Linked DNA regions of Nothobranchius furzeri. The protein of the gene in region 3 purifies or fractionates together with the protein of the main gene of each other region. This does not show direct contact. Links are inferred from orthologs where the notes say so. Each region holds a gene or a part of one and is shown on either strand. Other genes may lie near its edges. The genes, in order: nup160, nup107, nup43, nup133 and sec13.

Region 1 (6,018 bases), on a different chromosome or scaffold from region 3:
TCCATCTGAGCCCTTTGGGTTACCATCACCTGGATGACTGGGAACCTTCAGCAGATTATTTAACACATAAACAATAAAATATCAAGAAACTGTTTGAACGTATGTATAAATCATCCACACGATGAACAAAGATGAGGTCACATGATGCCGATGTCACTCAGCTGTTTGTGTGTGTTCGTAGCACTGGGATACTCTGTACCAACGGTGCCTAATGGGGTGAGTCGGCTGCCCTCTGTGGGTGAGGCCCCATCCCACCCATCCACTCGTCACCCCTCAGTGGCCAGCACCCGCTTACCTTCTGTGGGGGAGGAATCCACGCACCTGCTCTTGGTAGCCGACGAGGCGGTAAGTTCCCCACCCATCAACTGGTCTGACACCCACCTGGTCTGTGTGGTAATGCTGTGTATGTTTGTGTTACAGGTGCACACCTATGTGAACACTACAGGACTCTTGGAGGACCAGCCCAGTCCGCTAACAGTCACCACCCCCCTGGAGAGCCCTGCCTCCCCGCTTGCCATGAGTCCTCCCACACCACCACCACCTCCTAGGAATCATGGGGAGTCAAGTGCCCAGCCAGAGCCCCAGGTGCTGCTGGAGCCTCAGGGGGTGCGCTTCGTGCTTGGGCCCACCCCTGTTCAGAAGCAACAGATGGAGAAAAGGAGGCGGCAGGAGTTGCAAGAGGCTACCGAGCCCCGAGAAACTGATGGCCCTACCCAGATATCTGCAGAGTCTGAGCCTCTGCCCACACACTCCCATGACTCCTCCTTCAACCCGCCTACAGCTCCTCGTCACACCCGCCCACCCCCCCTGACCCCTGACCTGCAGAACGCTAACAACTCTGCACAACGACGCACTGCCCTGCTGGACTATGAGAACCTGCCAGCGCTGCCTCCGGTTTGGGAGGTCAGGAAGCCGAGCAACGAAGAGGAGGAGATTTCCGACGGCAGCCTGAAAACTCCATCGCTCAACGGCTTTAACCACGCCCCCTACAGCTTGCTGCATCACCCCTACTCCCACCCTCTGTCTGCTGCCCTCGAGTCTTCTCACAACTATGTCAACACAGAGAACGTGACCGCGCCACTCAGCGCGCACCGGCCTGACACAGCCCGCCGTCGAGCGGATTGCCCCACCATTTTTAATTTTGAATTCCGCCGACCGCCTCTGCCGGGCCACATGGAGCCGACTAAAACGCTCAACTACATCGAGGTGGAGATGGACAGCAGTGGTGGAAACAAAGGTGCCTCTGATGGCAGCAACCCTCACACACCCCGCACCCCCACCTCCCCGCTGCCCCCCACCACACCCACGCGGCGCACAGAACCCTATGCGCTAATCGACATCGAGCGCACTGCCGCCATGTCCAGTCTACAGAAGGCACGGCCGCGGGACGACGGCACGTCACGCAAGACGAGACACAACAGCACTGAGCTGCCAAGCAAGAGCGCAGCGTGATGCGCATGGAGCTGTGCACGGACTCCTCAGATAGGAGATGGATCGTCTTGTAGTCTCACCTGTTCAGGTGAACTGGTACTTTATACCTCTGAAGGTGATGATGTAACAGACTGCTTTCCTTATATGGTACACATCAGTATTACTGAACAAACATTCCAGTTATCTTTTTGTACGAGTCACTGTGCTGCTGTAAGATGACACATGTACAGTAGAGCTGACACAATAAAGTCTGCTTCTATTTGAATCGGCTGCCGAGCGAGCGCCTTGCTTCATCTCTGAGCCACACCGCCATTCGCAACACAAATGCATCTGTCCATTAAATTCAGTAATCGGTGCAGTCTTTTCCAGTGAAGCATCTGCTGCCACCTAGTGGTCAAAGTGGCAGCAGCAGGTTCTCGGGTGGAGAAGCTGGAGGAGCATGTGGTCCTGATATTTATGTGAGACTCCACAGATCTCCAGAAGACGTGGAAAGTGCCAAAGTCAAATATAGAATAGAATAGACTTCATTAATTCCACAGTGGGTAATTTGACTTGGTATGGCGGCACATTCACCTGGAGAAATGAGAACTAGGAACTAGGCTATTATCGTAACCTTCAGCACTCAAACAAATGAATAAAATAGAGTAAAATAGAAAATCAGGGTTTCGTTTTCCCTTCAGCCTCAGCGTGTGTGTGTGAGAGAGAGAGACAGACCTTCAAATTAACAAACTTGTTTTTTTATTAAAATGTGAAAAAAATTCATTTATGTTTTCTTATCATGCCATACCATGTATCTGACTTTGTTAAAAAAAATCCGTAAAATGAGTTTTGAAGTTAACACCTTCAGTCGAAATAAATGCTCTGCGGGTGATTGGGAACCCATCCAAGATGGCGGCCCGCTACTGCTACGTTGCGTCCACAGACATATCTATGGTTACAGTGGGGCGTTTATTTCACTGGGTTTCTAAGATGCTGCGTGCGCAGCTTTCAAGTGTCACGTGGCCCCACGGAGAAGATGGCGGCTGTAATGGAGAGAAGCTTCGTGGAGTTTTGCGGGTTTGAGCGGGAAACAGAGCGCCGGTTCCGTGAAGTCACAGTGAGTCCAGGTGAGTGTGAGTTCTGATTAATGAAGTCCAGTTAGGCATTACTTTTAATGTTCCATTCACGTTAACTGGATCCCGCGCTGATCTAGCCGCGGCTAGCTACGCTGTCCTCTCGCTCTGCGCGTGCTCACATGTCTCTGTGATGTGAAATGTTCAGGGCAGCTGCACCGAACAGGTGAGCTCTAGTGAAACAGTTGTATGGTCAACTCAAAGGTTGCTCACCTGTTACTCATACTGAACAGGGGCGCAACTGCCATCATTCTGAGGGGTATGTAGGTGCATAACAGCCCACCGCAGATCAAAGCTGCGGTGTAACCCAACCTGAGGCAGCTAGGCTGGATTACGGTGTCTTCTTTATGGAGTCAGTAAGTCCTCTTCACGCAGAAAGAAAGAAGACGATCTTTAATAGAGCGCCTCAAGATAAAATCACGAGGATGTGGAAGCTCAACCCTAATCCTGCAGAAGTGTCAAGGACTTTATTTAGCGAAGTGCAAGTCTACACCAGGAGAACATGACGTATACGACACAGGTGAATACCTGTAAGTGAACATTCAGCCAGAGGGATTAACGGTCAGAGATGTGGATTGAGCCAGGTTCATCTGAGATCACCTGATTTTGTTGCAGAGCAGAACAAAAACACGACATGGAGATGACTTGATGCCACAATTCCCATCTCTGTTAGTTCTACAAATACGTGCAAAAATCCACAAGCATCAATCGTTTTGAGACTTTTTGTTAGACGAGTGAGAAATTTTGTTTATAAATAGTTATACATTTTTAAGAGAATAAGGGAAATATGGCATCTTATGAGCAGATTTACATTTATGGATCTAGCCAAGAGAATAAACACGTTCGTTGCAAAAGTATACTTATTGTACTTTTTTATTCGGTCACTACCCAAAGCTTGTGACCATAGGTGAGGGCAGTGTTGGGAACGTTACTTTAAAAAAGTAATTAGTTATAGTTACTGATTACTTTGTCAAAGTAACTCAGTTACTGAGTTACAAGATTATAAAAGTAACTAATTACCAAGAAAAATAACTACTTAGTTACTTTTTCATTAAAGCGTGCAAGAGTTACTACAATAGTGAAATATAAATGACTAATGATTGGAACATAATAAAATGAATGTCTAAATGTTTTTTATAAACCTGAACGATTTAAATAAATAAGCACTTAACAGGAGGAACTACTAACAGGAACATTACACTTATCTAGACTATTAAAAGGTCACTGTGTGATTTTTAACAAGACCCCAATCAGCTAAAATTTAAAATTGCAAATAGAAACACCTGTAAAGGTTCCCGAGCCTTTAAATGGTCTCTCAGTCTAGTTAAATTACAGAAATAAATGTAATTTTGCACAGCATTTTAATTTTTCCAGCTTCACATAATTGTGTGTTTTTAGCAGCATTTCTGTTGCTGCTAATCTAGTAACGGTTAAATAAATAAATAAAATCCTTTAAAATGACACTAGAAGAGGCACAAGCCTGATGGAGGACTTACATTTACTAACTTGGGTCAGACCCAACCACAGAAGAGCTGAAGCTGGGTGGTAAACACACACAGGTAGTTCTAGTAACACCTGAGCTCCATGCCGTCTGAGACTGATGCATCAGTGTTACAGCGGGACTAAAGACATGATCAGAAACAGGTTACAGCTGGATGATCTAGGAAGGTAGAAGATCAGGACGTCGGAGCGGTGAACAGGTGAGCGGACCTTCGGGACGTCCCGCTGTCACGCTAAGAAGGACACGGCTGCAGACCCGCAGATTCGCTGCCGCGCTGCTTAACGCACGCATTTCCTTATCAGTAACAGAAACGATCGTTTTGTTAAGACGGTAATTAATTAGTTTGCTCGTTACAGAAAGAAATATATATATCTTTTTATTAACGTGGTTATTTTAAACGGCGTTATTCCCATCACTGCTCAGTTGGGTCTACAGCAGGCAGCAACTGAGACAGTGAGAACACTGAGGGTCTCCGCCCACCCGGCTAATCATCATCGTGTTTGTAAGCGCGTTACCGACACCTCTCTTCCTGGCTGCAGCTGAAGTGTGGCGGTCAGAAAGCCTCACGCTGCTGCTCAACGTTCGACAAGAACATAGTAACGCACAACCTTCCATCCCCAGTAACGGTAACGGCGTTGCAACAGTGGGAAAAGTAATTAATTAGATTATTCTGTTACCTAAAAAAGAACACCATTAGTAATGCCGTTATACTTAAACGGCGTTACTCCCAACACTGGGTGAGGGTAGGAACGTAGATGGACCGGTAAATCGAGAGCTTCGCCTTCTGGCTCAGCTCTCTCTTCACCACGACAGCCCGGTACAACGCCCGCATCACTGCAGACACGCTCCAGTTTTCCCTCACCCGTGAACAAGACCCCGAGATACTTAAACCCCTCCACTTGGGGCAGGACCTCATCCCTGACCCGGAGAAGGCATTCTACCCTTTTCTGACTTTGCACTAGTTTTATATTTATAAATTCTGTGTCCTTTCTGAGCTTACCAACATTAGTTGTTGTATGAAACAGTTTCACATCATTATTAGTCACAATGGCTGTTTGACCAGGCAGCTGGTTAGTTCAGCTTCGAGGTGACTTCATATCTGTGTTTTTTTTTTTCTGCAGGTGTGAGCGCTCCAACAGTTGGGATCAAATTTGCTGATAGTTCCGGGGCATTCCATTATGAAGAGAGTGGGAAGCTGCTGTCGGTCACTAGCAACCGATTCATCCTCTGGTGAGCATGTAAAGTTCTGCTGGTCCAGAATCTGAATCCTGCAGGTCTGTGTGTGGGTGTAGGACAGGGGGATTCAATTCCAGTCCTGGAGGTCTGGTATCTAACACGTTCTAGTAGTTTCTCTGATTCACCTGTGCAGCAGCTCATCAGGCTCAGCAGAAGCCTGTTAATCACCCGCTGATTGAAATCAGGTGTGTTGAAGCAGAGTTGAAACTAAAGCGTGCTGGATACCGGACATCCAGGACCAGAATTGAATACCACTGGTATAAGGCAACTCTAATATCTAAAGGGTTCGTGTTTATCTGTAGATCAAGCCTGTTCTAAAACAACACAACTCTCAACGGAGCAGTGGAATTGAAATCCTTAATAAAGATTATTAATTTGAAAAAAATCAACGCATTAATACAGGGTATCCGCGGGTCCTTAAAAAGTCTTAAAAAGTCTTAAATTTGCTTTTCCAAATTTAAGGCCTTAAAAATCCTTAAAAATGACAAATATTCCTTAAATGCAGTTTCCAAAGGTCTTAAATCACCAAAAACCCAATAAACAAAATTATTTTATTACTATGAAATTTTCGTGAATTTCTAGTTGGTGTTCAGCATTTTTGTGTACGATAATGGCGTAAGCGGAACCGTACACACTCAGCTGGTTGTGAAAGGGGGCTATTTTTAGATGAGCACATTAGCTGGTTAAGCTAGTAGGAGCTTGCGCCATGGGGAAGTGCAAGTTTAATGGTAACTGGAT
Region 2 (5,517 bases), on a different chromosome or scaffold from region 3:
GGGAATCCCATATGCCGTACCGCCGTTAACTGGCGGTTTGAGCCGTTAACTCCTATATGCCCTACCACCGTTAACTGGTAGTTTGAGATGTTAACTCCTGGGATCTAACGTCTAGCAGCCCACTGCTGTCACCTCGGTTGCTGTAATTAGCTTTTTGAATTTAATAATTTACTGAATTTAATCTCATTCACTCACCAACGCGCTCCAACGGTTCCCTCCTACAGAGGATTGGTTCACTCTGTCGTCTCCACACAAATCTATAAGAATGGAATTAATTTGATAAGCTATTTAAGTTTCCTTTTTTTTTTTAAGTTGCATCGTTAGCTTTTTCTCTTCTTTTTTCTTTACTCACCGCGTTGGTTCCAAGTTCCTAGCTCTTATTAGAAGGAGTCAAGTCCGCCTCTCCCTCTATCTATGCGGCACCCAAATCAGGGTTCTTCACGGCCTCGACCGTTGTTTTTTTTTCTCTCTCTCTCTCTCTCTAACCGCTCAGTCTTTGCTTTCTGTATCTGCGTGCTGCACAGCCGTTTGTCTCTCCTCTCGCTCAGCTGCGTCGCACGGTTTTATTTCGCGGAGGCGGGACTTATTTCTCTCAGCCAATGAAATTTCAGATTCCCACCTGGACCAATAGTATACAGCTTTCCTCTTCTGTTTCTGTTAGTGATGTTCAAGATTCTTGTTTTAACCGATGTTTAATATTAAACTCGTTATTTTAGTTATTCACCCTTCCAATAATTCATTATGAAATTATCTATTAGTTAATTAGATATCTATTAATTAGTATTGTTAATTTCCTTAATTTATATTTTATATTTTATCTAAATTGAGGATGGATCATATTAGTAAGCCAATTAGTTAATACCTCATTAAGGTTCTAGCTTCTGGGTTACATCTCTTTAAAGCGAGTTCTGCTGAGTTTAGGAGCCTTCTTCTATCTAAATGATTCACCTGTAAGAAACCCTCTGAATATGTTCGGGCACAATGAAGCTCAGTAAAAAGCTTCCAAACCCTGAAGAAAACCGTGAAAGGATCTGGAGGAAACCTGGATGCTGAAGCTGAGCAAAGGCTGAGGAAATAAAAAGAGCTGACATTTGGACAGAAGATGCTGCTCTGACCTCTTGAAACCTTTAAAAGATGTCTGCGCTGTCTCAGACCAGCTGACTCCTAACAATAAACGATGTTTATCCCTCCCAAACAACGTCAGTCTATCGCTGTTTGACACAGATTCCTTCAGACGCGTGTGTCTGTGTGTTCAGGTTCCCAGCGAGAGCGAGAAGGTGGTGGTGGAGCAGCTTTTCCAGCGAGACAGCATCGTACGACAGAGTCAGGTAACAAATTCAGATTCCTGGGTGATGGAGGCAGCTTAGAGGACCTTTCTCCAACAGCACTACTCAGCCTAAAACGGCTTGGTACAGCGTGGGTTAACTCAGCACAGCTCACCTCAGTGTTGCTGGTTTTCCTGGCAGCTCCGTGGCAAAGATTGGGTGCGCCCCTCATAGTGTGTGTGGGGGGGGGGAAGGTGCTGGGGAGGGGTACATCTTTACTCGTGATCCGTATTCTACACAGAGACGCAACTCGGCACAAAAATGTCGGTGATGTTGAACAATCTTCTCAGTTTTTGGCTTTTTGTCAGACTCCGAGCCGGGACATGGCAGTGACTCCACCCACTAGCCAGTCAGTGGCTGACAGTGGCGTTTGTGGACTGGGTCAGCGTTCTTCCAGCCACAGGGAACCAGCAACTGAAAAGTTGGGGGACAATACTGAACCGTGCTTTAGGAAAAGGTGGCCAGATCTAACCGCACCCACCCGAATGGCGCTGAGAATGGCTGTTGGAAATTTGCGTCCTCCTACAGATAAATAGATGTGTTTCTGTTGTTCATTCTCACTCGCTTCACTACAGCTGGTTGTTGATTGGCTGGAGAGCATTGCCAAGGATCAGACGGGAGATTTTTCAGATAAAATTGAATACTACGCTAAAAATGTCTGCTGGTAAGTTCCTGCTTTTCTGTTTCTTGTAAATTTTACAGACGCGTGTGTTTAAACATCATTTGTGTTGTTCAGGGAAAACACGCTGCATGCACTGAAGACGAGGATGAAGAGCGGCTCCGCCTTTTCCATTCCTCTGGTCACTGAGCTGGTGAGCCTCTCTTCTGCACCACTAACCACATTTTAAACTCCTCTCTCCGAGCCACAGAGACGAATGATTTGTCTCCTCAGGACCCCGACGCTCCTCTACGACAGCGACGCCCCCTGGTGGATCTGGACTTGGAGGATGACGCCCGACTCCTAAAGAACCTGTTCACCCTGATCCGAGCGGGGTTGACGGAGGAGGTGAAGGAGCAGATATCCGTTCATAAATGTGGAATTTCAACTAGAGGCTTTAACTAAAAATACAATCTGTCTCGCCTCAAACACGGCAGAAGTAGTGAACCAGAGAGCTCTCACGGCAGTTTTCTGGCAAACGCTTCAAATAGAATTAAGAAGTCATAAACATAAAGGTCACAACCTTAAAGGTTTTTATGGACATGTAAGAGGCTAAGACTCCAACTTGTTTAGCATAGAAATAGTTTGGTAAGATTTGGACGCAGACTCACACTAATAAACGTCTCTGAAGGGAAAAGTGAGCCGTTTCATTTTGATCTACAGGCTCAGAGGCTGTGCAGACGCTGCGGTCAGGCCTGGAGAGCTGCGACTTTAGAAGGATGGAAACTTTACCACGACCCCAACATGACCTCAGGTAACACCTGACCTCAGAGAGGCTGTGTGCACCGCCTACCCGCTCCACACAGGTCCGGTCAGAGCTGATGTGAGCGGCTGTGAATTTGGATGGTCCTGCCCCTGCCACAGCAAATATTCTGTTGCCTAGCAACCGCGGTGACGCTAAACGAAGTGAAAACTTAACTTGGTGGAAACTACTGCACACTCCATGTTTGCTTCCCCATCATCTTTATTCATCATGCTGCCTCACTGCCACCTAGGACTGACTGAATAGTGTTTGGTGTTCGCCTCGAGAGCAACCTGCTGGCTTGATGGTCATCTGTAAGTCGCTTTGGACAAAAGCGTCTGCTGAACACATAAACAAACTTGGCACATGAAGAACTACAGTACCCACCGTGCAAGCTCGTTTATGATTTTTCTTATAATTTTTATGGATGTATTTAAAAAAAACAAACATGCAAACACAACAGCTTTAAGCTTTTTATGTTTTTAACCATCAGATGTTAATTTTCCAGCATTTAAAACTAATCCTCTCATTGATACGCAGTGAAAATGGAAGGATGACGCACCTGGATTTGGACGCAGCCATAGTCCACATTTACACTCCGACACTTAACTCGTTCACTGCGACTAAAGGCGTCTTGCATTTTTTTACTGTGTGGGCGTCGGACGAGCCCCCGCACCGTGAGAACAAACATCCCAGCTCTAAAGCTGATCTTCATCCGCGTACGTCACACGTCACGTGATCAGGAAGCAGAACATCCATGTGTTAGGAGATCGTTTTGGGCCGCTGCTGTAAAAAAAGTGAGGCGCGAACTGGAAAAGCTTCTGCCGATCACAATTCAACAACGGATTATGAAAGAACGGATAACGCTCGAAACGCGCGGATTCTTCCTGATGTAAGAGGTGAGTCTCCTCTTTGTTTTGGTTGTTTTGGCGTCGACATCATCCTAGCGCGCAGCGTTCTGTGACTCTTAAAAAAAACAGTAAAAACGGTGAGAAACGCCAGCAGCGAATGAGTTAAAGGAATATTTCAGTCATTCTGACATCTTGTTCTATCTCTTAATTTATCCACCGACATCCTGCCTGCTGGTGACATCACTGATTAGGCAGCGTCAGAGGTAATGGCTAGCCACATCTGTAACAAGTTTTCTTGACTCCTCTGAGATTACGCCGACCGTTTTCTCCTGACCTCCTGAAACCCACCTGGATTAATTCTGCCGCTCCTTCTGCTCCTGACGCTCTCTGAAGGTTCCTTGGGCCCGTGTGAAGGATTAGTAAATCATCCTCACTGCTGGTGAAAACTTTACCTCCACCATCCTCTGATGTTTTCTCTCACTCTGGTCTCCCTGCAGGTAGTTCACAGTTGCAGCCTGCTGAAGGAAACCCAAACAGAGGGATCTGGAAGGCCTGTTGCTGGAGGATGGCAGAAGAGGTACGGTGCACTTAAAGTTCAGCTGAAACTGAGAAAAAACAACGGTATGAACCGAAACGCCTGTATGTTTCAGGACCAGTTAAACCGATATGAGAAGGCGATCTACGCCGGCCTGAGCGGAAACCTCAAACCAGTAATTCCATTTACAAAGTAGAGGAGTGATCAGATTGATGCGTTGACCTGTGGAGGTGACTGGTGGTTTTTGTTCAGCTCCTTTCAGTGTGTGAGTCATGGGAGGACTGTGTGTGGGCCTACTTCAGAGTGATGGTCGACTCGCTGGTAGAGAAAGAGCTTATGTCGTCGGGCATGGCCCATCAGGAAGTAGAGTCGCTACCCCGAGAATATCTGGAGGCCAAGTAGGAAACACATTAACTGGAAGAAAATATTCCAAAATAAAGTTTCTGACGACTGTACTGTCTGGGGTTTTCTTCACAGTTGGACCATGGAAAAGGTTTTTGAGGATCTCCAAGCGTCAGAATCAAAGGTGACGCTCTCGCCGACCGATTGTGTGGATTAAAATGAGAAATGTCTGACAGCGCCTCATCCTGAAGCTCTTTCTGTGTTTATGTTCAGAGAGTTCTGGATGAAAGTAAAGAACATCATCACATCATCCAGAAGTTTGTCATCCTGGGAGATCTTGACGGTAAAACAACCCAAATCTTTGTTGTTGTTTTTTTCTTATGGAGGCTGAAAGGGATCAAAAAGCTGCTGATGGGCACGGGCCAGCGTGTTCCCTCGCCCGGACCCGGGTCACCGGGGCTCCCCTCTGGAGCCAGGCCTGGAGGTGGGGCACGATGGCGAGCGCCTGGTGGCCGGGCTTTTACTCGTGGAGCCCGGCCGGGCACAGCCCAAAGAGGAAACGTAGGTCCCCCTTTCCATGAGTTCACCACATGTGGAAGGGGCCGGGTGGTAGCTGTATGCAGGGACCTTGGAGGTCTGATCCTCGGCTACAAAAGCTGGCTCTCAGTATGTGGAATGTCACCTCTCTGGTGGGGAAGGAGCCGGAGTTGGTGGGTGGGGTTGAGATGTTCTGACTAGATATAGTCGGACTCACCTCGACGCATGGCTCTGGCTCCAGAACCAGTTTCCTTGAGAGGGGTTGGACTTTCTACCACTCTGGAGTTGCTCCCACTGAGAGGCGCCGAGCAGGGGTGGGCATACTAGTTGCCCCCCATCTTGGTGCCTGTACGTTGGGGTTTACCCCAGTGAACGAGAGGGTAGCCTCCCTCCGCCTCCGTGTGGGGGGACGGGTTCTGACTGTGGTCTGTGCTTCTGCACCAAACTGCAGCTCAGACTACCCACCCTTTTTGGAGACCTTGGAGGGGGTGCTGGAAAGCGCTCCTTCAAGTGACTCCCTCGTTCCG
Region 3 (6,041 bases):
ATTTATGTTAAAATTTGGAGGCAGCCCAGTGAAACAGGTGAGGCTTTGGAGACAGTCCAAACTGCCTTTATTTACCAGGAAAGTAAGTTAGCGGTGAATTAGCATGCGTTCTGCATGTGACCTCTTTAAAAGCATCTTATGCAAACTCTGGGTTAAATGTCTATACAGGTCAGACCACAAGAGGCAAAAAAGAGAAAAGAAAAACTGATTACTACGAATCAAACCTTTTATTTGTTTATTTTTATGCTTCTGCTTTTGTAAGATTAACCAATTTGATTTAAAAATTATCAAAGTAACGACTTTCTTTTAAAGGCTTTCAATTTAATAAATGTTATTTTTGCACAGCTTTGCAAACTTGTGAGCTGCTAAAAATGTAAACTCTGTATAACTTACGTTAATTTCCCTATAAATGAAAATATAACACAGTGAATAACAACGCAGCTTTTGGCAAACTTGCAGCTTGCAATAACATCCCAGACTGCACACAATACAAATAGACCTGGTAGATACTTAAGAGTGAGAATTAATTTGCAGTATCGCGCTTGCAGATATCCCATCTTCATTTGCTAAATGCACTAGAAAAAGAGTCTAAAGATATTTTTACAGTAGTCATCATTGACTGACTGCAGAGGAAGCCATGATGTTGATTATAGTGGACTCTGGACCACGTAACAGCTAAGTCATCCATCTTTTACTGATGTACAGTATTTTGCAAAGGCAACAGAAGGTGTTAGGACATTTTTTTCTTTTATTTGATCACAAAAACACCATAAAGACAATTGTCAGGGGTTCCTCTTGCACTAGTTGTGTCCAATCCTGGTCTTCCTGGAACAATAACCAGGATGCTTTTGCTATTGTAATGATTTTCAGTGGTTATATTACCTTTTAGACATGTCATCAAGGTCCAGAGAAACCTGTTAATCAGGTGTGTTGAAACAGAAATGTCTAAAATGTGCTGGATTGTTGTCCTGGAGAACCAGGAAATGACACTGTATGTCTTTTAGCATACTTGGGATCCACCGATACCACTTTTGTCCAAACCGATACGATACTGATACTTGGATCTGAGTACTCGCCGATACTTCTACCACACAAATAATGCAATGAATTGGAATACAGGTTTTATTTTCTTCTCTGCTTTCAACAGGAAAAGATTGTGAGGTAGATAAAAAATAAAATATATTCATAGAAATGATCACAAAACTGAAATATTAGGTGAACAGAAATGACAAGTTATGGTGAAGCCACTTTCAGGCAACTGCATTGGTATCGGTTCCTGGTTTCGGTTGACTTTTACATCCCTACTTCTATGCCAGCATTACAGTTTTCTTTACTTCATAGTTTGTCTTTTTGACAGGCTGGTTACATGAATAAACTTTTATTAATTTAGAATATAAAAAAACAAGATCTGAACTGGTAACTAGATATAAACTGGAAAAATAGGTCGTGTCTATAAGCCCAGAAAGCCAAGCTGACGCTAGGCACACCCTCCTACAAAATTCTCAAAATTACTCTGACTTTTTTGTTTGATAATTTAAAACACATTTTGCAGGTTGTAATGTGTGCAAACAATAAAGAAACTGTTTTGATTTCTGCAGATCGACTAAGGTTGATCGATTTCTTATTAAAATATTGTGAAAGGATATTAAATGTCCATGGAAAGACATCAGCTAAAATATATGCACAGAAATTTGAAAATGTTCAACAATCAGGCTTCTTAAATGGAAATGAGTCGTGGGCTTTGGCACAGAGCTATGTAGCTAACAGCTGCAGTGATACAGCAACTTGTCATTATTTAAATGTATCCGAGTATTAAAGCTCAGCAGAAACTATCCGGACATGTACAGCTGTTACTGTCATTCACATTGAAGTCCAGTAGAAGACACAGACATCAATGACAGTGGGCAGTAGCATAAAATCTCAAATGACGCACATACTGCTAACATGCTAAGCTAACTTCCCACAGGACACCACTTTTCTGCGATTTACAACAAAACGGAAATGTCATTTCTGCTGGGTTTTTCCCCCCTGCTGTGACAAAAGCGTTGCCTTGTCCCACACATGGTCCCACAGCGAAAAACGTGGTTTAGGAAAAGGGGTGGAGAGGCGGGAGGAGACGCTGGGTCACCATAAACATAGCTTGCTAGTAGCTACCGCTCCTAAGCTAACCCCAGCCTCCAAACTACAACGTTTTCTGGCGACGCGGCGGTGAAGTTCATCGCTGCTGCCGCTTTAAACCTGCAACCGGACTCACTGCGAAGGTTGTTGACAAGCTCTGCGTGGCTGGCTCCTCCAGATTTCCAGGCCATTATTAAGCAGACTTTACGGAGTAAGTAGACAGCAGCTGTAAGTGCCGCGCCTGCGCCAATAGTTTTACCAAAGAAGCTGACAACCTCCAGAGCAGACGGCGTAGCGGCGGATACGTCACTAGACATCCAAATGATTTTACAGAGCAGAGCCGCCTCTCAGATGCACGACCAAGCAGAAAAATATGTCATTTTAGAATATAATTAATCTGTTCATGATGCATCAAAGTCAGCGTCAGACGAAAGGGAATAAAAGCCACGTTCCTCAGCCATGCAGTGCTTTATCAGGTTTTTGCCGCAGTAACAACGGAGACGACCGCTAGGTGGCGGAATGTACAAATTCACATTTCTTGCGAGAAACGCAGATCAGATTGTTTGATCCTGTTGAGCCACCGTACTTACGTTTAAAGCTAGTGGGTGCGTACATAGAGCTAAGCTAACATCAATAAGAATATTTTTCGTATTTAGGCAGCAGAAACGTTGGTTGTTCTCATGGAGAGTGCTAAGTACGTGTCCCAAAAAGTCAGCAAGGCCAGATGGCGTCCTGTGTCGTCTTCGTTTTTACAACAACCAGAAATCTTTGCGACGGGATCGTGGGACAACGAGGTTGGCTAGTTGAATATTTTTGGTGAACCAAATTTACCCAGTTTTTCAAATGTTCTGTGTTTCTCCTGATTATGCACACTTACACGTTGTAACTGTCAAAAAGGATTTAACACTTGTTACACATAGTTTGCTTTTTTGTGTGTCTGTCAGGTTCGTTTTGGTCATTTTTTTTGCAAGGATGTGGCCTTTATTTAAAAAAAAAATTATTTCTGTAGGAAAACAAGATATCTATTTGGTCCGTGGGTAATTACGAAAATTCGGGCCTGGAAGATGGATTTGAAGGAGATCCGCAGCTTATTTGTGAAAACAAGCACGATGGAGATGTTCTTGGCCTCCAGGTAAGACGCTGTAACAATAATGTCATAACATACTAATAATGCAATTATTCATCACCATCAACTTTATTTATAAAGCACTTTACATCGACCAGAAGACAGACCAAAGTGCTGTACGCACTTTAAAGAAATTAAAACAACAATGAACCCTGCAGAGATGCACATAAAAACAAATAAAGTACATTTTCTGCGCATTTCAGAATTTTGCTAATACAGAAGGCAAATCTGTTGTTCTATGCATCAATAGTTTTGTTTCTTTGTAGGTCTGCAGGATTTCTCAGTGCACAGCCTTGTTATAGTCAGCAGGAGGATTTGCAACACAGACTCATTTGTTTTGCAGCCATTCTGTTGAAATTTTGACACGTGCGTGGGACATTGTTTTGCATGACTCAGTTTTAGTCGAGCTTCAGCTGTCCAATTCCTCCAAATTAGACTTGATTATACTACTTGATTATAGTTCCTGGATCAAGAGAGAATCGTCACGGCCTCATCAACGGGAGCAGTCACCATCTTCCGCCACCATCACAACAGTCAGGTGCAGTAGAGCTTTCATAAAAGATGTCAACTCCTGTATGAAGGTTGTGTTGCTGCCTTTGCTGTTTATTTATAAAATCATTTTTTCTTCTTACATCAGACAATCTCAGTTTCCCAGCAGTGGGTGAAAGCGCACCATTACCCCTGTGACAATGCTCCCTGCACTGCAGTTGTGTGCAGCAGCCCTGAGATCATCACAGTTGGGGAGGACGGCAGGATTATTGTCCTCAGAGCCGACCAGGATTGTATGGCTCAAGTCATAGGTGAGATTAAACCACCCCATTCAGAACTCTGTACACTTTAACTCGGTGTCAAGTCAACATGCTTTTGCGGGTACATTTGGTAGAGAATGCTGACAGCAGCACGATTCATGCTGTGACTTACCTGAGGACGACGGAGATTTTGACTGTGAACTCCATCGGACAAATAAAGCTATGGGATCTAAGACAACAGAGCAACTCGGCATCACAGATTCTGTCCTTGTAAGATCCGCTTTAGCACGTTTTCCCCATTTTTAATTCTACTATTTTGCTGATGTATGTGGATTTTAATTTTCCTCCAATCAGGTCAGGAGACAGAGTTCCTTTGTACTGCATTGACAGACATCCAAACCAGCAGCACATTGTAGCCACAGGAGGCCAGGATGGAATGCTCTGTATGTGGGATGTGAGGCAAGGCAGCATGCCCTCATCCCTCATGGAGGCCCACTCAGCTGAAAGTAAGATGTACATTTTTAATTATTTAATGGACATATAATTTACACACATATTTAAATATTTTTCACTTTTTTAATGCTTTTTGTCTAACTTTCCTGGCAGTGTGGGAGGTCCACTTCCACCCTACCAACCCAGATCACCTGTTCACGTGTTCAGAGGATGGATCGCTGCTGCACTGGGAGACGTCCTCCCACTCAGACATGCCCTCCTTTCTACAAGGCAAGTCCTATTCATCATAATAATCATTATTATTATTATTATTGGTATTCAGTTTAAAAGGCTGCCTATGTACTTCTTCTATTTTCTTAATTATAAAGATTCTATGGAAACACAAAAGCCATAATCAAGAAAATATCCAGTTGAATGTTTTACTGAAAGTTTACATTATTTAGGGTTAAATAAACAAAGAATTTCCTGATAATGTCCAACACCAGGTCAGTCTATTAAACATTGTCATGTTGTACTATTTGTCGTAATTTCACTGTAAAAAGTGTTATTGTTGTGTTTCCAGGTAGCAGAAACAGCAGCGTGACCTCTCGCAGTGCGATGGCCCTTGCTGGAGGAAACCAGTCCCTCATCAGTGCCTGGCTCAACGGAGACTCCAGTAAAAGCCGCCTGGAGACGACCCACATGCTGCCCAGCCAGACGCTGTCTGTCAACAGCTTGGATGTGCTTGGACAGTGCTTAGTTTGTGGAACTGATGGAGAGGCTATTTTTATCAACAAACAGGTCCCAGTTTAAAAGATCTGGAGGTGACTAATAAATACATGAATGCAAATTTTAATTTGATGTTTTGTGACACATTGGAAGACTTTTTTTTTGTTACACAAAAAGCCAATATACCTACGCAATGAAAGACCTCTGTGTCTGATGCAATGCTTCATTCTTTGCAGTGACAGAATATGGATTAGTGTTTTTGTATGTCATTCTGTACACAATTGTTCAGATTAATAATGTTTTGTACAGATTACTTAAAAAACAATAAAGAAATAAAATGTAACTTTCTCAAATTGTCTCAGGATGTTACGTTTTTTTATACTGACAAATCAAGTAAAATTGTAAATCAAACCTACCAACATAAAAATGTCAAAGTCAGCCTTGTGAGCTCTTATGTTGCTCTGTAAATTTACAAATAGATGTTATGTGCTCACCCAAAGGGAAATTGATTTATTTTTATACATATTAATGCTCTTATTTTTTTATTTCTAAGATTTGTGCTGTGAAATGTGTTTGGACTTCATTAACAGGTTAGCAAAAAAAAACTTATAAAAAAAAGCATTAAAATTTTCTTCATTAGTTTTATTAGTGTTATTTTGTTCTAAACTTAGCAAAAAAGTAATTTCTCCACTGACTTTTATTGTGAAAGTCCAGCGTCTGATGGTGCGTCGTTAGCTTAGCTGTTGTACTTGTCATTCAGATATCCCAGGAATTCAACAAGACTAGGAACCAGTCGGCGCGGAACAACAAGGGCATTTTAACTTCAAATCGCGTCCTCGACGCCGAGGAGGGTCAGCAAACCACTACTGTCCGTTAATAATAGGAAA
Region 4 (5,112 bases), on a different chromosome or scaffold from region 3:
TTTTATACCGACACGGAGATCTTTCCTGGAGGACAACGGGAGGGAGGGGGGGGAGAGAGAGAGAGAGAGAGAGAGAGAGAGAGAGAGAGAGAGAATAAGTATTTGGTCACTTCAAACAAGTAAAATCTCTGGCTCTCACAGACCTGTAACGTCTTCTTTAAGAAGCTTCTCTGTCCTCCACTCGTTACCTGTATTAATGGCACCTGTTTGAACTCATTATCTGTATAAAAGACACCTGTCCACAGCCTCAAACAGTCAGACTCCAAACTCCACTATGGCTAAGACCTACTGTGAAGCATGGGGGTGGGAACATCATGCTTTGGGGCTGTTTTTCTGCTAAGGGGACAGGACGACTGATCCGTGTTGAGGACAGAATGAATGGGGCCATGTATCGTGAGATTCTGAGCCAAAACCTCCTTCCATCAGTGAGAGCTTTGAAGATGAAACGTGGCTGGGTCTTCCAACACGACAATGATCCCAAACACACCGCCCGGGCAACAAAGGAGTGGCTCCGTAAGAAGCACTTGAAAGTCCTGGAGTGGCCTAGCCAGTCTCCAGACCTCAATCCCATAGAAAATCTGTGGAGGGAGTTGAAAGTCCGTGTTGCTCGGCGACAGCCCCAAAACATCACTGCTCTCGAGAAGATCTGCATGGAGGAATGGGCCAAAATACCAGCTACTGTGTGTGCAAACCTGGTAAAGACCTATAGTAATCGTTTGACCTCTGTTATTGCCAACAAAGGTTATGTTACACAGTATTGAGTTGAATTTTTGTTATTGACCAAATACTTATTTTCCACCCTGATTTACAAATAAATTCTTTAAAAATCCTGCCATGTGAATTCATGGATTTTTTTTCACATTCTGTCTCTCACAGGTGAAGTGTACCTATGATGTAAATAACTGACCTCTGTCATCATTTTAAGTGGGAGAACTTGCACAATCGGTGGCTGACTAAACACTTTTTTACCCCACTGTATCGGTTCCGTTTCTGATGCCAGATATTTCTTCCGCTTTTGTTTTATTTATTTTGAAAACGGTGGTGCTGTTGACAAAGTTAAAAGCAGCAACTTCCTGACCAATCACAGGCTTGCGGTCTACATAACTGATGAATATTTAGAAAGTTGTACTCGACTCCTGTTGGAGAGCCCTTGCAGCCAATCCAGACCGAGTAGTATAAACGAGGCATTTAGCCACATCACAACCTGCTTCTCTATGGAAATTAAACTTATAAATTAAACTTGCTACATTTTTGTGGGAAAAAACCCAGAACAATTCAGAAATAAATGCATATTTATTTAGAAAATGAAACATTTGAAAATATAAGATGAAAACGAGAAAGTGAAAAATGCAGACAAAGCGAGTCGGCTTTGTTGAGAGCATGCAGGGTCGTCACATTTGAGCCTGAAGGTAATGTTCATAATTAGCTCGAAGAACAAACTCAAAACAAGGTTTGGATTTCAAAGAACTCAGCTCATCGAGTTCGAGCAGCTCTTTGACTTCGGGCAGGTACGTCTGCAAGGGAACACCTGAAACAAAGGTGGGAGAGGTTTGTTTTATTAAGCTACAATTCCAGGTGGCAATGGGAGAGATATGTTGCTTTTTACACATTATAGACAAGGCAGCTTTATTTGTAGAGCACATTTCAAACACAGAGGCAATTCTATGTGCTTTACTGTTATCAGGACATGAAATGAAAACACATAAAAACAAATTAAAACACACACAGGTAGAATTACAGTTTAGAGCTAAAGGAGAAGACAAAGTTGCATCACAGATTACAGCGGAGACGACGCATGGTAAGAAACTATTCATGTAAAGGCTGATGAGTACATGAGGGTTTTAGTTTTAAACAACACTAGGGCTGGGGCAGGTCTGAGGTCATGGGGAAGCTGATTCCATATGTGAGCAGCATAGTAACTAAATGCATCTCCACCATGTTTGGTTCTGACCCGAGGTTCTACCAGCTGATTGTTTCCAGGGATCTCAGAGCCCTGTTGGGTGTTTATATACAGGAATGAGATCGGACGTGTATTTTGGTCCCATGCCATTGAGTGATTTATAAACTAGTAGTAGCACTTTGTAGTGTATTCTGTAGTTTACTGGTAACCAGTGTAGGGATCTAAGAACAGGAGTGATGTGCTCCGTTCCCATACATACAAGTCTCCGCTGCTTCAGACCAACTCAAAATCCTTTCCTGGCTGAACTAGTCTCCTTCCTTTACTAGGCATGGGTTCATTACATGTTCTACCACTTTTACATTTATGGAATTTCAAACTACATGTTTTTGCTGGCGCCGTCTACACTCAGTGAACCATTTATGTCGTGATTATTGCTAGCGGAGTATTATATCCTTTAAAGCACCAAGTACAAACCTTCTTGTATTACTTTGAGGAGGATCTTCACAAAGATGCTGTCCTTAGCTGCTTCTATAGGATCGTCGTTCCCATCAACAGAGGACCAGCTGAAAGGCAGGCAGAAGCAGTCAAACACATGGAAGTCAATCAGAAGTCATCCATCAGTGAGGCACTAGGAGGCATCACCCATGGCCTGGTTCCACTCATCATTAACAACAGAAGAGAGATTGTTTCAGAACTTTGCATCAGAAGTCCAGAGACTTTGGATCTTTAATGCTTTTTCATCGATTCAACAAATCGCTACAATAAACAAGTTCATGGACGTGTTGTCCACTTCCCTCCACCGTCGCTTCATTTATACTTTTATTTATACTTCATTTATACTTTATAGCTTTGGGTCATTTAAACCAGTGGACAACCTGGACCTTTTGGGGTAAATTTGCAGCCATTTTCAAAACAAACGGGGGACTCTCTCACTCTTTCTTTGAGAGCTTCATGGCTGTTGCCAGTTATGGATCAGCACCAGAACATTCTAGATGACAAGTGAAGACGAGTCACTCACAGTAAGTAGACATAAAGATAAAAAACATTGATTGTACTATCTATTTGTTGGTACCTGAAACAATAACTTCAGAAAGATTTACAGACGACTATTTGCCTCTAATTCACTGTTAGCATTGTTAGCTTAACGTTAGTCTCTAGCCTGCTTCACCCAATATTAGAGTAAAACACAAAGATGCCATGGCTTCTTAGGGGTACATGAAATCACTTCTTGGTCGCTCCTGTTTACTGGCTTTGTTTTTTTTCTAAACAACTCTAGAGCTTTTGCCTGCCGGGTCAAATTACAAGTCCCGGTGCAGCAGCGTTAGCTCGCTAGCGACTCGGCAGCCCCGCCGGCTCACAGATTGTAAAAACTGACAATCCCTCCAAGCCGGCTGAGATGGAAATCTGTTTCGATGTAACCTTCTTTCCAACACCTCTCCTCGCTCACAGGAAAAACAGACGGCCTTTGCAGCGCAGCGCATAGCCTCAGACCCCACCTATCCCCACCATGGACATGTGGTTCTGCAGCATCTGCAGCAGGATGTCCAGATTCAGACACATCACACCTTTCCCTCCACCACCTTTAGGAACCTCGGGGGACTATAGACATGCTGTTATGATGTCATCTTTAGTGCAACAGCTCATCATGCAGTAGCTTTATTTTTACTCCTCACTACTTTAGTTTTTTTATACATTTCTGGTACACCGATTTATAAAAGGGGGACCGCAGGATGTGTTCCAACTACAGGGGTATCACACTCCTGAGCCTCTCTGGTGAGGTCTATTCAGGGGTTCTGGAGAGGAGGGTCCGTTGGGCTGTCGAGCCTCAGGTTCCGGATTAGCAATGTGGTTTTCGCCCTGGTCGTGGAACACTGCACCAGCTCTATACCCTTAGGGGGGTCCTGGAGTGTGCCTGAGAGTTAGCTTCACAGCCAGACAGGACACGGGGAAAATAAATAAATAAATAAAAAGATAAAAGCAAGTCTAAGTCTAAACAAAACCTGGCCAGCAGCCAAGCTGAAACATGAACAAACGTCCCTTAAACAAAGAACATTTGACCCGGTGAGATTGTTATTAAAACAAACTCTGGGTATTTAAAAACTAAACTGCTATTTCACCAGTTTTACAGTTTAATTTCAGCCTAAAGTGGGAGGGGGTGATGAGGTGTCGGAGGTTTGTGACTACTGAACCGATAACCATACACGTGTCAGAGCTTACTCATCTCGTCTGAGTGCTTTGCCGAAGATCTCACACTTCAGAGCATCAATGTCTACAGAGTCCTCCTGCAACGCAAACAGAAAAGCCTCATGAGCTAAAGCCAGATCGATCCTCAGCAGTCCGACACATGAGCAGGAAGTCACCTTGTGGATGTACTCGAGCAGGTCCAACGCCTTTTTGAAGTCGTACTCGTTGGCCCTCCTGTTGTCATCACAGATGTAGAGCTGCAGAGAAAGACACTTTCAACACAAGCGACCGGCTCCTGTTGTACTTCAGCAGGACCGCCAGCTGGTGACTTCTTCCCAGCAACGATGCTCCAGGAAGGCACGGCTTGCAGCAGAGCTGAACGACTCTGATTTCAAACCATCACGTGATCGTCGACGCTACGGGTTTGTTGCTCGCATCCGACTGACTCAGGATCTGTAGTGTCAACTATTTTACACGTCTGGAACACACCAGCTGCGAAGTGGAGCGCTCACGAAATTTGTGTCAACGAGTGCTTCTGCTCACGCCTACTGTCTTCCGACCCCCCCACCGCACCCTTGTGCCCTTGCTGCGTGTGTGTGTGTGTGTGTGTGCGTGCGCGCGTGTGTGTTCATTTTCATCTCTCTAGTCTGTTTAGATACACAAAAATGATCACATTTATCAATTGCAGTGTTTTATTTTGAAAATTTTCTTTTATTTTGTTAAATTTACCGGCTTGCCTCTTCTGCTTTGGTTCGACTTCTTGTCAGAATTGATGCGGCTCCGAAAAAAATCAGAGCTCACACCAAAACGATCGCTGCGCGGCGCGAGCCTCCGTGGCGCTTCGCAGCGGATGTGACCGAGAGCGTAGGTCAACAAGGGCGCCGATCAGAAGCGCTCGCCGTCCCACTGCGCTTCGCGGCGCATCGTCGCACTTTCTTCTAATATGTTCTGGGCGTAAAACACCCCCAAGGCCGTAAACGCATTTCGGCCGTAGCCGCGAGTGGAGGCAGGGGTGTCGGCGTTGTGGG
Region 5 (5,987 bases), on a different chromosome or scaffold from region 3:
AAGAGACTAATAAAATGAACAGCTGAAACTAAAGGAAAACACTACAGAAAGAAAAACTACAGGGGCGTGACTAAGGGGGACCACGGGAGCACTGGACCTGGGAGGGGGATACCTGGGGAGGGAAACCTAGAGGGCTGCAGATCTGGGGACAAATGAGGAACACAAGAAGACACGTGAGGAAGATGCAGACAAGGACAACATGAGGGCGCTAGGAGACACAATAGGAGAACCTAGAGATGGGGGAGAACACAAGGAGACACATGAGGGGAGACGCAGAAGCAGACCGTGACACTAGCCAGGCTTTTATTTTACGTAGATTCAGCTTCAACGTGTTCTGAAGGGAACCACATAGAAGAACCTGCATGTGTGGCTAAAAGGTTCATGGAGGGTGTGAGAGGAGGAGGACGTTAAAGGAGAGAGCATCGATCCTCATGGTGGAGGAGGTGGACTTGTCTGTCAGGGAGAAGATGATGCCTAGAGGAAAGGGTGAGGGATGAAGAGGAAGAAAGATGAAGGGAAAATAAGGAAATGGGAAAATAAAACAGCTGAAGGAAAAGAAAAAAATGATGTTTTACTGTGAGGAGAAAAAACATAAACCAAAAATGTGATTCATGTAAATAACCCAAAAAGAACATCTTGTTTATCTTCTACTCTCTGGTGGAGGATCCAAGTGCTGCAAGTGGGAATTTATTTACTTTTTTTTAACTAGATAAATATGTAAGTGTGCTGCTTGTCAATAAACCATTTATTTCATATAAAATTGCAATTTGGGGCTATAAGATGTTTTATCAGTGGGCTTGATAAAACATCTAGCTTCCATCCTACCACCTCACACATCACATTACATCACCTCACATCCACAATATCGCATCTCGTTATTCATATCTTGTCATGTATAAATATTAATTTTGTAAAAGAATTAAATTAATTTCATAAACTATATACCTGACTCTGTCTGAATTACAGTAATACAAAGTGTGTTTATGGTCCCTGAACAAGTAAAAGTAACTATATTCTTCTGATTAAACATTCAAAGATCAGTCAGGTTGATATTTCATATTTATATGGAATAATTTGTGTGTGTGTGTGTGTGTGTGTGTGTGTGTGTGTGTGTGTGTGTGTGTGTGTGTGTGTGTGTGTGTGTGTGTGTGTGTGTGTGTGTGTGTGTGTGTGTGTGTGTGTGTGTGTGTGTGTGTGTGTGTGTGTGTGTGTGTGTTACCGTGGTCTGGTGCCTCATATCCACACCCATCAGCGCCTCGCTAAGGAAGACGAACGTGTTTATTGCAGCTATGTAGCGAGGGTCATACAGAATTGCTTGAGCCCTCATCTGCAGCAGCAAGGACCTCAGTAAAAGGCCGAACCTGGTCCTTGGTGGGTTAGGATAAAAACAGCTGTCAGGTCAGACTATTGTGGGTTTATGGCGTCACCTTGTGGTCATCTGGGGTAACGACGTGATAATTTGCTGTCCAAAAATCACAATCTGAGAGACATCTTCAAAAATTGACTATTATTACCAGTTGATATTTAGGAGACCTGAAAAAGAAGCACTTGTTCCTCTTAAAATAATGTTTTTTTTTTGTTTTAATGTTGTATTGAAATGATAAAGGGAATGTAATGTATCGATGTGTTCTGTTTTCTGTCTTTTTCTATTTGTTTACGTGAATTCATGTTACTATTTTATTAGTAATTATAATATGATTACAGACAGGTGTAAATGTACTGTGTGTGTGTGCGTGTGTGTGTGTGTGTGTGTGTGTGTGTGTGTGTGTGTGTGTGTGTGTGTGTGTGTGTGTGTGTGTGTGTGTGTGTGTGTGTGTGTGTGTGTGTGTGTGTGTGTGTCCCAAGTATGTTTGTTTTACACTGAGTAGGAGATGCTCTGTATCTCACTTTACACCTGTATGGTGACAATAAAGGTATTCTATTCTATTCTATTCTATGTATAGAGGGTCTTTGTACATTTAAGTTTCCATCAATAATTTTAGCTTTTAGCTCAAATAAACTGTTTCCTTTTTATTGTTTGATTATTTTTTGTTTGTTTGTTTGTTAAATGAAGCGTTTTTAAAGTTTTTATTATTCTTCTTTTTTAATTCACGCAGAACTATCATTTGGCGTTTTGTTTTACCCGGTAGGAAGTGAGGTGGGACTCGGTGGAGGAAACGGCTTCTGTACTTGTTGCCACGTCGGAATTGTGAACCTTGTGAAGTTAGTCGATAGAGAACAGGGGCTTCTTGTTTACACGGTTTAGCCACAGCCATGGTGAATTTCGTCACTTTTTGTTTTAGTTTCAGCTCAAAATATTCTAGGATGTTGATTTTATGTTTACATTTTGCTGGCTAGTCTTGGTAGCTGTCAATCCATTAGCACGATCGCTAACGGCAGGAGGCTAATCTGTCTGGATATAGTTTTATATTTGCTTGATTTTGTTCTTATTTGTTTGTCAATTGCAGGTTTCCGTTATAAACACGGTGGACACTTCACACGAGGATATGATCGTAAGTGTTTATGTTTTATCCAGTTTTATTTTTATCTCTGATGCTAAAAGCTAACAGTTAGCGGCTGTAGCTTTTATCTTCATTCAGTACCACAAGTGTAAGTGTTCTGTGTAAAGCAGCAGTTTTTAATTTAAATATGTAATACTGTTGGGATGTGTGTTTTGAGAAAGGAGTAGCACATTGTTTTAATTAGTTTAGTGCTTTTAGATCGTTCAGTCAAAATGTTTGTCTTAACTGTACCAGATGCTATAGTGTAATAATTACAGAAACAGTGCTATGTGGATTATTCTGTAGTGTTGACTGTGAAAATTTGTTAAATAGTCTTTAAACTTCACTTAATCGGCGTGTTTTGCATTTTCGTTTTAGTTGTAGGGAAAATCTAGCCGAAATCATTCACGTATTCACATTCTCCCTAAAAAGATAAGATTAATCATGTTCTCAATGTTTCAATTTAAGGAAATCAAAACCAAAACAAACATTCAAATGATGCAGTTTATGCCGCACATTTGTTATGTGATGGTGAAAGATTTAAGGAATGGGTTTCAGTTTAGCACCATCAGTTCATTTATGAATAAACCAGGTGTCATGCTTCCATTGTTTGGTGCTTTTGCTGCCCCATAGAAATCCCCACCAACATTCCTGGTGTTGCTTTGTTGTCTGTTTCAGCATGATGCCCAAATGGACTATTACGGGACTCGACTCGCCACGTGTTCTTCTGACCGCACCGTTAAGATCTTTGACGTCCGCAATGGTGGACAGATCCTGGTGGCAGACCTCAGAGGGTAAGAGATCTAAGCTTTGGAATATGCACAGAAATTTACGTAAGTAGAGTTGTCAAGTGAATGTCAATACACTTCCATTTATTTCCTAAAGATTTAATCTTCACCTGTTCTGTAATGTATTTTTATTTATTTATTTGTGTGTGTGTGTGTCCTGCATCATGTAGCCACGAGGGCCCTGTGTGGCAGGTGGCGTGGGCTCATCCAATGTTCGGCAACATTCTAGCATCCTGTTCATACGACCGCAAAGTCGTCATCTGGAAGGAGGAGAACGGCACCTGGGACAAGATGTATGAGTACACTGGACACGAGTCATCAGGTAGAGTTCTCCATTATTCTAGTGCCGGGGTGTTCATTTCCAAGCCTGGAGGGCCAGTATCCATTATGTTTTAGTTTTAACTGTTTCAACACACCTGATTTCAATCAGCAGGTGATTAACAGGCTTCTGCAGAGCCAGATGAGCTGCTGCACAGGTGATTCAACCATTGAATCAGGTGTGTTAGAGCAGAGAAACTACTAAAATGTGCTGGATACCGGCCCTCCAGGACCGGAATTGAATATCCCTCTAGTGGTTTAAATGTGCTCCTCCTCCTCATTCTGCTAATCCATGTGGCCTTCTTGAAAGAAGTTCAGGTGCTAGTAATGCTGGAAGAAGTTCCGTTTTTCTTACAGATAACAAATGTTTTGATCTTAATGTTGTAATTTTATTTCTTCTTCTGCCCGACAGGTCAGTGTAATGCACCAAAGTACACGTCTTGTTTCAGATATGTTCTCTTTTTTTTTGCCAACACCTTTAGAAAAATGAAATATTCAGATTAAGTTCTGTTTCTACAACATTCTCTTTTGTTTGAGTACATTTCTTTTTCCCTTTCTAATTGATCCTTCCTTTTTAAGAAATTACAAAGAAATTCATGTTCATATATTGGGGCTGAGAGATCAGTTTGACTGAATAGTTTTCCACACAACTTGATCTCGTCCTTAACTCTGTCTCTGTGTTTGCAGTGAATTCAGTCTGCTGGGGTCCGTATGAATTTGGTCTAATCCTAGCCTGTGGCAGTTCAGATGGAGCAATTTCCCTCCTCACATTTACTGGTGATCAGCAGTGGGACGTCAAGAAGATCAGCAACGCACACACCGTGAGTTAAAAATGAAATGGTTTTCCTAAGTTGTCACCAATCTTTTAAACTTTATTCTGTCTCACCTTTTCTAATTTAGTGTTTCTGTGTCTTTTGGGGCGTGAAGTGTATCTTTAGAATAATTAAAAGCTTTATTTTTTGCTTCAGATTGGCTGTAATGCAGTGAGCTGGGCTCCTGCTGTAGTTCCAGGCAGCCTGATCAATCAGCCATCAGGTCAGAAACCAAACTACGTCAAACGCTTCGTCTCTGGCGGATGTGACAACCTGGTGAAACTCTGGAAGTAAGTTGCTGTTGAAAATCTGTCATCCTGTATGGATAAAAAAAAGAACACTTTCAACAGTGAACGTCAGATGTAGCTAATATTCTGTGGCCTGAATAATGTTCTGCCTGCAGAGAGGAAGACGGTCAGTGGAAAGAGGACCAGAAGTTGGAGGCGCACAGTGATTGGGTCAGAGACGTCGGCTGGGCTCCTTCTATTGGTCTTCCCACCAGCACCATCGCCAGCTGCTCCCAGGTCCGATTTCTTTTTTTTTCTTTTTTTTCCCCCCCGTGTCCTGTCTGGCTGTGAAGCAAACAGAATTGATGTCTGAATGCTGGTGACAAGCCTTACAGATTTACTCTCAGGTGGAGCATCAAAGCGTCTGCTTTTAATGTCACACCTGGTACTTAAAACTTTATTGTTATTGTTTTTGAATGCTTTGTAATTCCGACCAGACACGGAGTCAGAGGTGAAAGAGAAAGAAAGATACAAAAGGAAGAGAGGGGGGGCAGGTTGTATTTCTAAAGAAATCTCATGTTGAATTTTTCACCTCATCACCAGGTGGAGCCATAGATGACATGTTTCAGAAAATATTTAGAGAAATTAAATGTTAAATATGGAATAGGGACACTCTGGTGGTATTGCAACAACAGGACTAATTTTCCAGCCGTTGGGATGTTGGTTCACTGCTGACATGTTCCAGCACCGTGTTTAGAGACAAATCGTACAGAATATAGACTAATTTCTACTAATGAGTTTATTATTCATCATTAGAACATCTTCTGGACTCAGAATCAGCTGCTTGACTTGTCAAGTCAGCCATTTTACACAGTCCCAGCCTCGCCTTGCTCAGCGGGTGCTTTAGCTTAATGGTGCCCAGTGGCTGGTAGATGTAAACATAAACCCGGCGTTGTGCCCGACAGAATAAAAATGTGATACATATTTTTTTTAAATATAGCTTTTAAAGGAGAAACTACATTCATTCTGCACACCTCTCAACGACCTGTGGCGGTATTGTTTTTGTAAATATAGCTTTTTATTTAAACTGTTCCATATGCCACCTTTAAGTTAAACGTTTGTTTAGAAGCTTGTCTCTGCTTTATAAAATGTCAGATTAGGTTTTAGTACGAATTAAAGTTTCTCTTAGAAAACTAAACTATTTGTCTCTGCATCTCTTTCAGGACGGGCGTGTGTTTATATGGACGTGCGACGACCCCGCAGGTAACACATGGACGGCCAAACTGCTGCACAAGTTTAACGACGTGGTCTGGCACGTCAGCTGGTCCATCACTGGAAATATACTGGCTGTTTCTGGTGGAG

Evidence for each region.
Region 1: the proteins of nup43 (region 3) and nup160 purify together in Homo sapiens (affinity purification with mass spectrometry; 5 studies listed by BioGRID and IntAct, counting the BioPlex papers as one, with this or other methods). This does not show direct contact. The link is inferred for Nothobranchius furzeri from reciprocal best matches to the Homo sapiens genes NUP43 and NUP160.
Region 2: the proteins of nup43 (region 3) and nup107 purify together in Homo sapiens (affinity purification with mass spectrometry; 8 studies listed by BioGRID and IntAct, counting the BioPlex papers as one, with this or other methods). This does not show direct contact. The link is inferred for Nothobranchius furzeri from reciprocal best matches to the Homo sapiens genes NUP43 and NUP107.
Region 4: the proteins of nup43 (region 3) and nup133 purify together in Homo sapiens (affinity purification with mass spectrometry; 5 studies listed by BioGRID and IntAct, counting the BioPlex papers as one, with this or other methods). This does not show direct contact. The link is inferred for Nothobranchius furzeri from reciprocal best matches to the Homo sapiens genes NUP43 and NUP133.
Region 5: the proteins of nup43 (region 3) and sec13 purify together in Homo sapiens (affinity purification with mass spectrometry; 3 studies listed by BioGRID and IntAct, counting the BioPlex papers as one, with this or other methods). This does not show direct contact. The link is inferred for Nothobranchius furzeri from reciprocal best matches to the Homo sapiens genes NUP43 and SEC13.

What each region holds. Positions count from the first base shown.
Region 1 is NC_091744.1:79,861,967-79,867,984, reverse strand, and holds the start of nup160 (nuclear pore complex protein Nup160), read left to right. Parts: upstream 1-2,391; 5' UTR 2,392-2,446; coding exon 2,447-2,537; intron 2,538-5,165; coding exon 5,166-5,274; intron 5,275-6,018. Other genes in the region: fibroblast growth factor receptor substrate 2, read left to right, coding at 182-345, 421-1,452. UniProt on the Homo sapiens protein: Functions as a component of the nuclear pore complex (NPC). Involved in poly(A)+ RNA transport.
Region 2 is NC_091741.1:38,077,614-38,083,130, reverse strand, and holds part of nup107 (nuclear pore complex protein Nup107), read left to right. Parts: intron 1-1,256; coding exon 1,257-1,328; intron 1,329-1,900; coding exon 1,901-1,989; intron 1,990-2,061; coding exon 2,062-2,137; intron 2,138-2,217; coding exon 2,218-2,331; intron 2,332-2,646; coding exon 2,647-2,737; intron 2,738-4,073; coding exon 4,074-4,153; intron 4,154-4,226; coding exon 4,227-4,286; intron 4,287-4,363; coding exon 4,364-4,509; intron 4,510-4,588; coding exon 4,589-4,637; intron 4,638-4,726; coding exon 4,727-4,796; intron 4,797-5,517. UniProt on the Homo sapiens protein: Plays a role in the nuclear pore complex (NPC) assembly and/or maintenance. Required for the assembly of peripheral proteins into the NPC. May anchor NUP62 to the NPC. Involved in nephrogenesis.
Region 3 is NC_091742.1:11,413,813-11,419,853, reverse strand, and holds nup43 (nucleoporin Nup43), read left to right. Parts: upstream 1-2,578; 5' UTR 2,579-2,798; coding exon 2,799-2,912; intron 2,913-3,127; coding exon 3,128-3,250; intron 3,251-3,704; coding exon 3,705-3,782; intron 3,783-3,881; coding exon 3,882-4,044; intron 4,045-4,127; coding exon 4,128-4,263; intron 4,264-4,347; coding exon 4,348-4,499; intron 4,500-4,599; coding exon 4,600-4,720; intron 4,721-5,008; coding exon of another isoform or gene 5,009-5,012; coding exon 5,013-5,238; 3' UTR 5,239-5,507; downstream 5,508-6,041. Other genes in the region: pcmt (protein-L-isoaspartate(D-aspartate) O-methyltransferase), read right to left, coding at 2,255-2,435. UniProt on the Homo sapiens protein: Component of the Nup107-160 subcomplex of the nuclear pore complex (NPC). The Nup107-160 subcomplex is required for the assembly of a functional NPC.
Region 4 is NC_091747.1:67,766,320-67,771,431, forward strand, and holds the end of nup133 (nuclear pore complex protein Nup133), read right to left. Parts: intron 4,342-5,112; coding exon 4,261-4,341; intron 4,183-4,260; coding exon 4,118-4,182; intron 2,464-4,117; coding exon 2,375-2,463; intron 1,529-2,374; coding exon 1,392-1,528; 3' UTR 1,275-1,391; downstream 1-1,274. UniProt on the Homo sapiens protein: Involved in poly(A)+ RNA transport. Involved in nephrogenesis.
Region 5 is NC_091743.1:73,557,762-73,563,748, reverse strand, and holds the start of sec13 (protein SEC13 homolog), read left to right. Parts: upstream 1-2,123; 5' UTR 2,124-2,253; coding exon 2,254-2,256; intron 2,257-2,447; coding exon 2,448-2,492; intron 2,493-3,158; coding exon 3,159-3,274; intron 3,275-3,438; coding exon 3,439-3,590; intron 3,591-4,273; coding exon 4,274-4,407; intron 4,408-4,554; coding exon 4,555-4,688; intron 4,689-4,801; coding exon 4,802-4,922; intron 4,923-5,848; coding exon 5,849-5,987. UniProt on the Homo sapiens protein: Functions as a component of the nuclear pore complex (NPC) and the COPII coat. At the endoplasmic reticulum, SEC13 is involved in the biogenesis of COPII-coated vesicles.